2 linked regions of the Canis lupus familiaris genome follow. The protein of the gene in region 1 purifies or fractionates together with the protein of each later gene. This does not show direct contact. Links are inferred from orthologs where the notes say so. Each region holds a gene or a part of one and is shown in the gene's direction. Other genes may lie near its edges.

What was found. The genes of interacting proteins can lie anywhere in the genome.
Region 2: the proteins of AP1G1 (region 1) and AP1M2 purify together in Homo sapiens (affinity purification with mass spectrometry; 4 studies listed by BioGRID and IntAct, counting the BioPlex papers as one, with this or other methods). This does not show direct contact. The link is inferred for Canis lupus familiaris from reciprocal best matches to the Homo sapiens genes AP1G1 and AP1M2.

What each region holds. Positions count from the first base shown.
Region 1 is NC_049226.1:78,167,902-78,172,110, reverse strand, and holds the start of AP1G1 (AP-1 complex subunit gamma-1), read left to right. Parts: upstream 1-1,403; 5' UTR 1,404-1,759; intron 1,760-4,209. UniProt on the Homo sapiens protein: Subunit of clathrin-associated adaptor protein complex 1 that plays a role in protein sorting in the late-Golgi/trans-Golgi network (TGN) and/or endosomes.
Region 2 is NC_049241.1:50,992,658-50,996,955, forward strand, and holds the start of AP1M2 (AP-1 complex subunit mu-2), read left to right. Parts: upstream 1-1,493; 5' UTR 1,494-1,610; coding exon 1,611-1,652; intron 1,653-2,909; coding exon 2,910-3,066; intron 3,067-3,292; coding exon 3,293-3,360; intron 3,361-4,298. UniProt on the Homo sapiens protein: Subunit of clathrin-associated adaptor protein complex 1 that plays a role in protein sorting in the trans-Golgi network (TGN) and endosomes.

The sequences.
Region 1 (4,209 bases):
ACCATCTGAGCCAATGGCAGATGCTCAACCACTGAACCTCCCAGGTGTCCCATCATGTTCTAGTTCTATGCTACTGCTTAGTAGTTGCGTGATCCAAGGCTGCATTGGACAGTAGTGCACTACAGGGTAGGAGGCAACTGAATTCCATAAGCATTCTGTTCCTCAGATCATTTCCATCTGGGCTGATTCCCCCCTGAGTGTGAGTGTGAGGGTGGGTGGGTAGGTGTGTACCTTTTCTAATTCAGGAGGTGGCACTGAACAGCAGAATCCCAATGTGGGAGGGGAGAAGGAGGGTCTTGCAGTAAGCAATAGTTTGTGACTCTCAATCTCCTTACTTGTGAAACTAAGTTCGTTATGCTTGTTTAGTCTGAGTCAAACAAGAATTGGTGGGAGGGTCAAATTAGATTACACAAGGAAGATGCTTTTATAAAAAGTATGATATGAATATTTGATAATAAAAAAGTGATAATTACTACCATCACGCCCCCAGGGCTTTGTTTCCAGTCACTTTTTAAATCCTAGTAGTTAAGGAGTAAAACTGTACAGGCGGACCTCCTCAGTTCAATTTCTGGAAAATGTTTTGAAATCTCTGCATGAAAGGGCTTGTCGAAGGAAGAGAGGGCAACCTCCTGTCTCTGACAGGTCCTAAACTCCAGATTTATGGTTAGTCGGGTTCTTTTTGGCATCTAGCCAGGTGCTGTGCTTTATTCACTTCCAGGACAACTTTACTGCCAATCTACCTGAAGGATTTTAGTTTAGGTAAGTCACCTTTCCCTTCAGTGGGCTAAGATAATCAAGTTCACGTGGAACATACTTGTGTCAGGTGTTAGTAATTATTTTTCAAGCCAGGAACGGTCTGGGTAGACTCTCTCTGGCTCAGGTCCTTAGCTGATGGAGACACAGTGAGAAAAGCCCAGTCTGGAAGGGTTCTAACAACGATCACTAGTCCAAGTCCTTTGTGTTTACGTACGAGGAAGCTGAAGTCCCGAGAGATTCAATGACTTGTCCAATACAGGAGGTTGAGGGCTGGTACTGGGTCTGGAATCCATTCTTCTGTATCATCCTCTAGCTCTTTTTATAAGATACTTTGCAGAGATACCACACAAGTATGGAAGCCAATACCACGTGGGGCGTGTCCCTGAAGTTAGAAAGGTGAGGTCTGAAAACACCGGAGGCAGCAGTTTGGGCTATTTGTGTATTAAGTCCCCGCCCCCCACCTGCCTCGCCTCGCCCCGCCCACTTCCTCCGCGGTAGTCCCGCCCCCTTTCGGTGGCCCCCGCCGCTTCCTGGTAGCTCGGCCTGCTCCTCCCCCCGCCAGCGGAACCAATGTTCGGAGGCCTTCCAGGGTCAGCCGGATCTTTCTCGCTCAGACTCTTCGCAGCGGTGACTCGGCAGCAGCGTCTCTCGTCATCAGTGACCGCCCCGTACCTTGCTACGCTTTGCGTCGCTCTGCTAGGAGCAGTCACCTCCTCCTTGGCAAATAGTCCTCGGCGGGGTCCGAGTTCTTGGTTAATAGGAGAGGGGAGGTAGAAGAAGTTGCAGCTAGGGAACACGGAATCGACAAGGAGAGGGGGATAGAGACCCAAGTTTCTGCAGTACTGCGTGAAGTTAGTTAGAAACTCCCCGCTTCCTAAGAGGATCCTTCCGCCTGCAGTAGCGGTGGTGAGGCCGAGGGAGCCGCCATTTTGGATGTTCGGTTCCTGCTGCCACTGCTGCCGCCGCCCCCGGAGCTGCTGGTTTCATTCGAGGTTTCGGGCCGGTGAGTGTCACTCGCGGCGCTACGAACATATTGCTTCTTTTGCCCCGCGCCTGCTGGGAGCGCTCGGCCGGAAGCTTCCTGTCAACACCGGGGGTCCGGTCCTCGGCTTCAGGGGGCGAGAAGAGAGGACAGAGGCTGGCCCAGGAGGGGCGCGGAGTCCCAGGGGCTGCTCCGACTTCTTGAGGGCCGACCCGAGGCCTCGGACCCGGAGGCTCCCCGCGCGGCTGCGTTCGGAGTCGTGGCGCTGCCCGGCCGGTGCGGGCCTCCTCTGGACCCATCGACTTTCTCGGGCTTCGATCCTCTCTTGAGGGCTCGTTCAGGGAGCCCGGGGTTAGCGGGGCGGGTCCCACCCCCGCGTGTCGTCTCCGAGCTACGTATCAGCGTTCTCGTGTCTTGCACTCGGGTCAGGTCTTTCGTAGAACTCTCCAAAGGTCTTTCAGAGGCTCCGTTAGTCGCTGTCTGCCCCGCAGTGCCGGCCCCTCGGAACCGGACGTCGGCCTCGCCTCTCCCTAACCTTCCCACCAACTTCTTTCCCGATTTTCAGGGTCCCTCCCCAACTCCCGAACTCACCCGCGAGTCCCACTGCTTAGCCTTCTCGCAAAGCCCTGACCCTGCGGACGTCAGTTCCTACTAATTCTATCTTCTCGACTGTCTGGACGAGTCGGGACGATTGCTTCTGTTTCCTTGTTAGGGTTTGATGAAGGCGGTCCATCGGGCCGTTCGCTCGGAGCACACTTGAGCAGTTTTAAAGCTGATTGAATGGCTTTTGGGGAGGGGTAGGGAGAAGGCTGTCAGAGGTTTCTCTCATTTGTGAATTCTCTTCCTGTGCTGAACAGTTGGCTTTTTTGGGGGGGGGGGGGGGGTGTTTATTGACACTTCTGTACTTGTCTTGGTGTTGTATGTCCCGGGGCAGGGAAATTGCCTGAGAAGGAAGGATCTTAATCCGACCTCCGTAGTAAGGGAAGTAACTTTTTTTTTTTTTGGCTCCTGTCGCGATTAGTTAACAGAAGAGAGGACGGAAGATTTCTTTGTGATCTCAACTTGCAGGTGTTTCGTACGGCAGTGATCTTTGCTGATTCTTAAAAATACTTAGGTAGACCTCGTGTGTGGGATTTTTTTCTTTTTTGGGGGGGAGCTCGTTGAATTTTAAATGTTCGCTTCTACTGTTCCCCATAATACTTGTCAGACTATACCCTTAACCTTTTGGCTTAAAAATATAGGCTCTCCAGGTGTCCATAATCTCACCACTTTTATGCTGTTCTTAAAGTAAGTTTGCAGTGTAGCGTGCTTGAGTAAAAAGCATTTCACATTAATTCACGGATTATTTCCTACATTTTAAGTTAGGCGAGTGTGATCGAATCCCCTCTATTTCATCGCAGCCTGGGTTTTAAAATCTGCGAGAGACAAATAATTTAAGATTACAGTCTATAGGGACTGCTGAAATTTAAATTTGTAACTTGATGGACTCGATGTAGGGAGTGAAGAGGAAAATGAAAAAAAACATAACTTGAATCAAACCTTTTAATACTTCTAAGCCATGTCTAAGTGCATTGTTCTTATCAGGTAGATAAATTCCTGTACTGGTCATATGATGTTTCAATAGAAGACTGAATGTTTTCATTGTAAATAGTGTTCTTGTTGTTTGTTTTAAAGAGTCTTTTCAAAAGTATGTTAGTATTTGTGTATTTACTCTTGAGATAGGGAATTTCTCTTTTGGTTTGAAGGAACTGTCGAACCCCTGAACGTGTATAGGATACCTAACTCATTTACCAAGTATCCCCATGTAGTTATTGAAATGTTCATTTCTGAGCTATATATATTTTTTTCTGAGTTAAATTTTTTAAAAGGTTATTGGAAGAAATATCAGGTGTTACTCAACTCATTCATTTTGTATTATAATTATTGGTAGTTAAACGTTGTTCATTCTTAAGTGGTTTACATTCAATTGGAGAGTGTCCTTTTGCCTTACAAATTATAAGCAAAGTGCTGTTGATTGCACTGTTGATTAATCACATACTTGAATGTCTATTTTGTCTAAGGTGGTGGGATTATACTTGTAAGAAACATTATTGTTTAGGAAATCTCAATTCATTTTCTTCTGGGAGCAGTTGCTTGTTCCTTGTAGATTTGAGAGTTAATTTTATTTTTTTAGTGAACTCTACCTCCAACTTGGGGCTGGAACTCACAACCCTGAGATCACGACCTGAGCTGAAACCGAGAGTTGGATGCTCAGCTCAACCAGCTGTGCTACCCAGGCACCCTCAAGTTTTTTGTGATTTATAAAAACTCTTTACATACTGAAAAAGTTGAATATTTTCCAAAAGACTATTTTTAATTAAAAAAAAAAAAGAATAGGAAACTACATACCAAAACAGATTTTCAAAATGCTTAATCCTCTTACTTGCATTTGATGAGGATTTAAAACTTTTGTGTATAAAGCAGGACTTAAC
Region 2 (4,298 bases), on another chromosome or scaffold:
CTGAGCCCCCCCACATGCCCCCTAATAATAATATTGATTGTTGGCTACACCCCGGGTCTGTTCTGAGAGTCGCGTTGGGGGTAGTAACTCAGGCATCTGCATGATAATCTAACGAGGGAAGTTATTTCTATCTCGCAGATGTGCAGACAAGAATTCAGGGAGGAGAGGACAGGTGCCTGAGGTCACCCAGCTGACTGGTGGCAGAGCCAGGACTTGAGCCCAAGCAGCTGGCTCCGGAGGCCTTGTGCTTTACCAGCACATATAAACAACAACAACAAAAACACTATTAGTACCCGCTTTATGCTAGGCTCTGCATGAGGACTCTCTTCCAGCCCATAAGGTCATGGTGGGAAATTTGCAAATGTCAGTCCCTCCCCTGACTTCCCATTGAGATCTCACAGTCCCCCCCTTCCTCAAACCCTGCCAACAGTTCCCTCGCCTTCTTGATCAGAGATGATCATGATGAAGATGATCAAGATGATCTCCCATCATGATCAGAGATCATCTCGTTTTGGGGTTTTTATGTTGTGTGCCTCTCACCCTCGCTCAAAGAGAGCCAGTGGAGTGGCTTTGTCTATTTGCCACCCATAGTGTCACAGAGGGCGCTCAATAAATATTCATCCACTGCGTGACTCATCAGCAGCAGCATTACCATAACGAAAGTCGCTTCCGTATGCTCAGTCCAACACACAGAAGATGCTCAATAAATGTTTGTTGAGTGAATAATAACATTATAATATAGTCACAATGACTTTATTTTGTCAACATCTTAGTGTCACATAATAGGCGCTTATAAGTACTTTTGGAACGAATAAGAATAACATTAGGAATAAGAATAAAAGCAGCGACGTTTGTTCTGCTCAGAGTGCTACCCACAGTTCGTCATTAAAAAAATTTACTAGTCAGAAAATGTCTGAGTGAAAGAATAAATTAATTAGTAAATAGTTATTGAATGAATGAATGAATGCATGCATGCATGGTTTGGACAAATTTATTCTTTTCCCTCTCCTCCCCACGGGCCTGGAAATATTATTGAGTGCCCAGCGTGGGGCCCTGGGGACACAGATACGAACAGGGCAAAATCCTCCACTGGGGCTGACGTGCCTGTGGGAGAGACAGAAGAAAAACAAGATGAGTGGATGAATGGGTGGATGGATGGGGAAGGATGGGTCAGTGGGTGGGTGAATGGGTGGGGGCTGAGTGGGTGGACGAATGGACGGTCAGGTGCGTGGAGGGACTGCTGGGTGGGTGGGTGCATAAATGGAGATGGGTGATGGGTGGGGGGATGAATGGGTGGGGGTGAGTGGGTCGAAGGCTGGCTGGCTGCTGGCTGGGTGGACCAATGGGTGGTTGGTCGGCCTGGAGACTCCTCCCATCCGCACTCCCGGGAGCAGAGGGAAAGTGAGGCGGGGCAGCTGGCCCCTCCGGAGCCCCGCCCTGCTGCAGTCCTCGCGTCGGCCGACAGCGCCGCTCACCTGCGCGCCTCCCCTTTAAGACGCTCTCACCTGGGCGCTCACCTGCGCGCGGGCGCTTCCGCAGGAAGAAGGAAGCAGCGCCGCCGTCGCCTCCCGGCGCTCGCTCCCCGCCTCCCGGGTCCGCCGGCCGCTACCATGTCCGCCTCGGCTGTCTTCATCCTCGACGTCAAGGGCAAGGTGGGCCGGGCGCGGGGGGTGTCGGGGGCAGGACAGGTGAGGCCGCGCGCCCCTGCGCCCGGGGGCGGCCCCTCCTCGCGGGCGGGGGGGCTCCAGAAAGCCCCGGGAGCGTGGGAACACCCCTCCCCCAATCCCGGGAAGTCCCGGCTCGAAGCCCACCTCCCCTGTTGCCCCTCAGCGCGCCGCGCGCGGGCAGGGCCTTTGCCTCTCGGAGCCTCAGTTTCCCTGTCCGGAAAAATGGGGAGAACGAGGTCCCCACCCGCTGGGAGTGACTGCAACTCGCTGAGCGTCGACTGCTTGGCCCTGTAGCCCCGCTGCAAACATTAGGGGTTCGGTCGGTCGGTCGGTTGAAAGGATTTTTATCACCCTCATCATCCACATGATTAATATTTGGGGAAGACGGCAGGGGCGGGAGACCCTCGTTCCCGTTTGGGGCTGCCTTGTCCCCTCCTGAAGTCCCCTCTCAAGCGCCTTGTCATTTCATATAAAAAACCACGGTGGTTGGGGACCCCTGGGAGGCTCAGCGGTTTGGTGCCTGCCTTCAGCCCAGGGCGTGATCCTGGAGTCCCGGGATCGAGTCCCGCGTCGGGCTCCCTGCATGGAGACTGCTTCTCCCTCCGCCTGTGTCTCTGCCTCTCTCTCTCTCTCTCTGTGTCTCTCATTAATAAATAAATAAAATCCTTAAAAATATATATAAATAAAAAACCAGGGTGGTGGTGAAAGCTCAAGTGCTTGAGGACGGGCTCTGCGAGGTCCTGGTTCTCAGCCCTGGACTAAACCACCCTAGGAGGTAGTACTGTTAGCATCCAGGGCTCACTGCCTGCCAGCCGGCGGCTCTGTGCGATGTATGATCTCTCTTTCTATAATCTTTTTTTTTTTTTTTTTGCCTCCTTCCCCCTCCTCTCCCCTCCCCATCCCCTGATTTCCGCACCTCTTAGAGACCTGGTTCACACCTGCCTTTCTCCAGCTTTCAAATGAAGATAGTGCTGGTGCCCGCCCCACAGGTTGTAGTGAGGACATAATCAGTTAGCAAACACCCAGTCTTTGGTAGGACGCGGCCTGGTCCTCAGTGAGGACCCTGGATACCTTGCCCTGGTCACACACCCGTTTTACAGAGGAGGAAACTGAGGCAGAGAGCAGCAGAGTCTTGCCCTTGCCTGTCAGCCAGGGAGTAGAGTCAGAACCAGGCCCTCTGACGCCCCTGGATGAAGGGTCCCGGATTCCAGCCGTGACCAGGCCTTCTCTGCTCACCCTTAGCCCCTGATCAGCCGCAACTACAAGGGCGACGTGGCCATGAGTGAGATTGAGCACTTCATGCCTCTGCTCATGCAGCGGGAAGAGGAGGGCGCCCTGGCCCCCCTACTGAGCCATGGCCGGGTGCATTTTCTGTGGATCAAACATAGCAACCTCTACTGTATCCAGCCCCCAGCTGGGATCCTGGAGGCCTGGGGTGGTAGCAGCTTGGGCCCAGAGAGAGTAGACTGAGGGCAGAAGTTGCACAGCACATCAGGGGCTCGGGTTGGGGTGGAGGGGATGGACAGAAATGAGGTGAGGGTGGGGGGACAGCCAGAGGATTTAGGATCTGGGCTCCATTTGAGACCTCCAAAACGGCACCTTTTCCTTAACTTTGCTGCACATAGTGGTGGCTACCACGCTGAAGAATGCCAACGCCTCCCTCGTGTACTCCTTCCTCTACAAGACGGTGGAGGTAGGTTCTGGCTTCCCGTTGGCCAGCTGGTTTGTCTGTCCACCCCCCTCCACCCCATTTGCTCTTCTCTTTCAGGATCCATCTCTCCTAGGAAGCTTCCCCTGACCTCCATTGAAACCCCATCTCTGTGTTCTCATTAGCTGCTAAGGGATCATCTCTCCCTATAGGGCAAGGACCAAGCAGGTCTTCAAGAGGGTGCACTGCTCAATCCTGGGCCAGAGAATACTGGGTTGCAGTCCCAGCCCCCTACTCTTCCTGGCTGTGTGACCTTGAGCAAGTCACTTCTCTCAGTGTCTAAACTGAGGGTTACAACAAGTCCCACCTTGGGGTGTTGTACAAATTAGTCAAATTCATATTTATGAGTGCTTCAAACAGGGGCTTAGTACACAGTGAGTGCTCAGTAAAGGTTTGGTGGTGGTGTTAGCGTTAGCACGGCTAGAGAATCCTATAATAATTTGAGTGCTTGCTAAATTGCATTCTCAGTGACCGAGAAAGTGCTCAGTAAATACTTTACAACAAACAAGGAATATGTATTGATTTGTCTCCTGCCAGGCGAAGAGGGGACACAGCTATGCACAAGGCAGGTGCAGTCCCTGCCTGTCCCGAGGAGTTAAAGGGCATGAAGGAGATTGAACAGGACATCATGAGAACCAGTGACTAGGGTGCTAGTCTCACTGTGATACTCAGAGGGGAGGAGGGATGTAGTGGCTTCACTGGGGAGGTGACATTTGAGCTGAGGCCTGAATGACAAGGAGTCCATTGTGAGAAGATTGTCCCAGGCATAGGGGACGGCATATGCAAAGAGGTGAGAACGGAAGGCAGGCCAGTGGGGCCGGAGCAGAATGAAGGATGGAGGGTTTCTCAAACTGTCAGATGACTGATAGGTTCTCTGCTGTGGTTTAGCCTACAAAACTCCCAGAGGCTCTGAACTTGGGGAC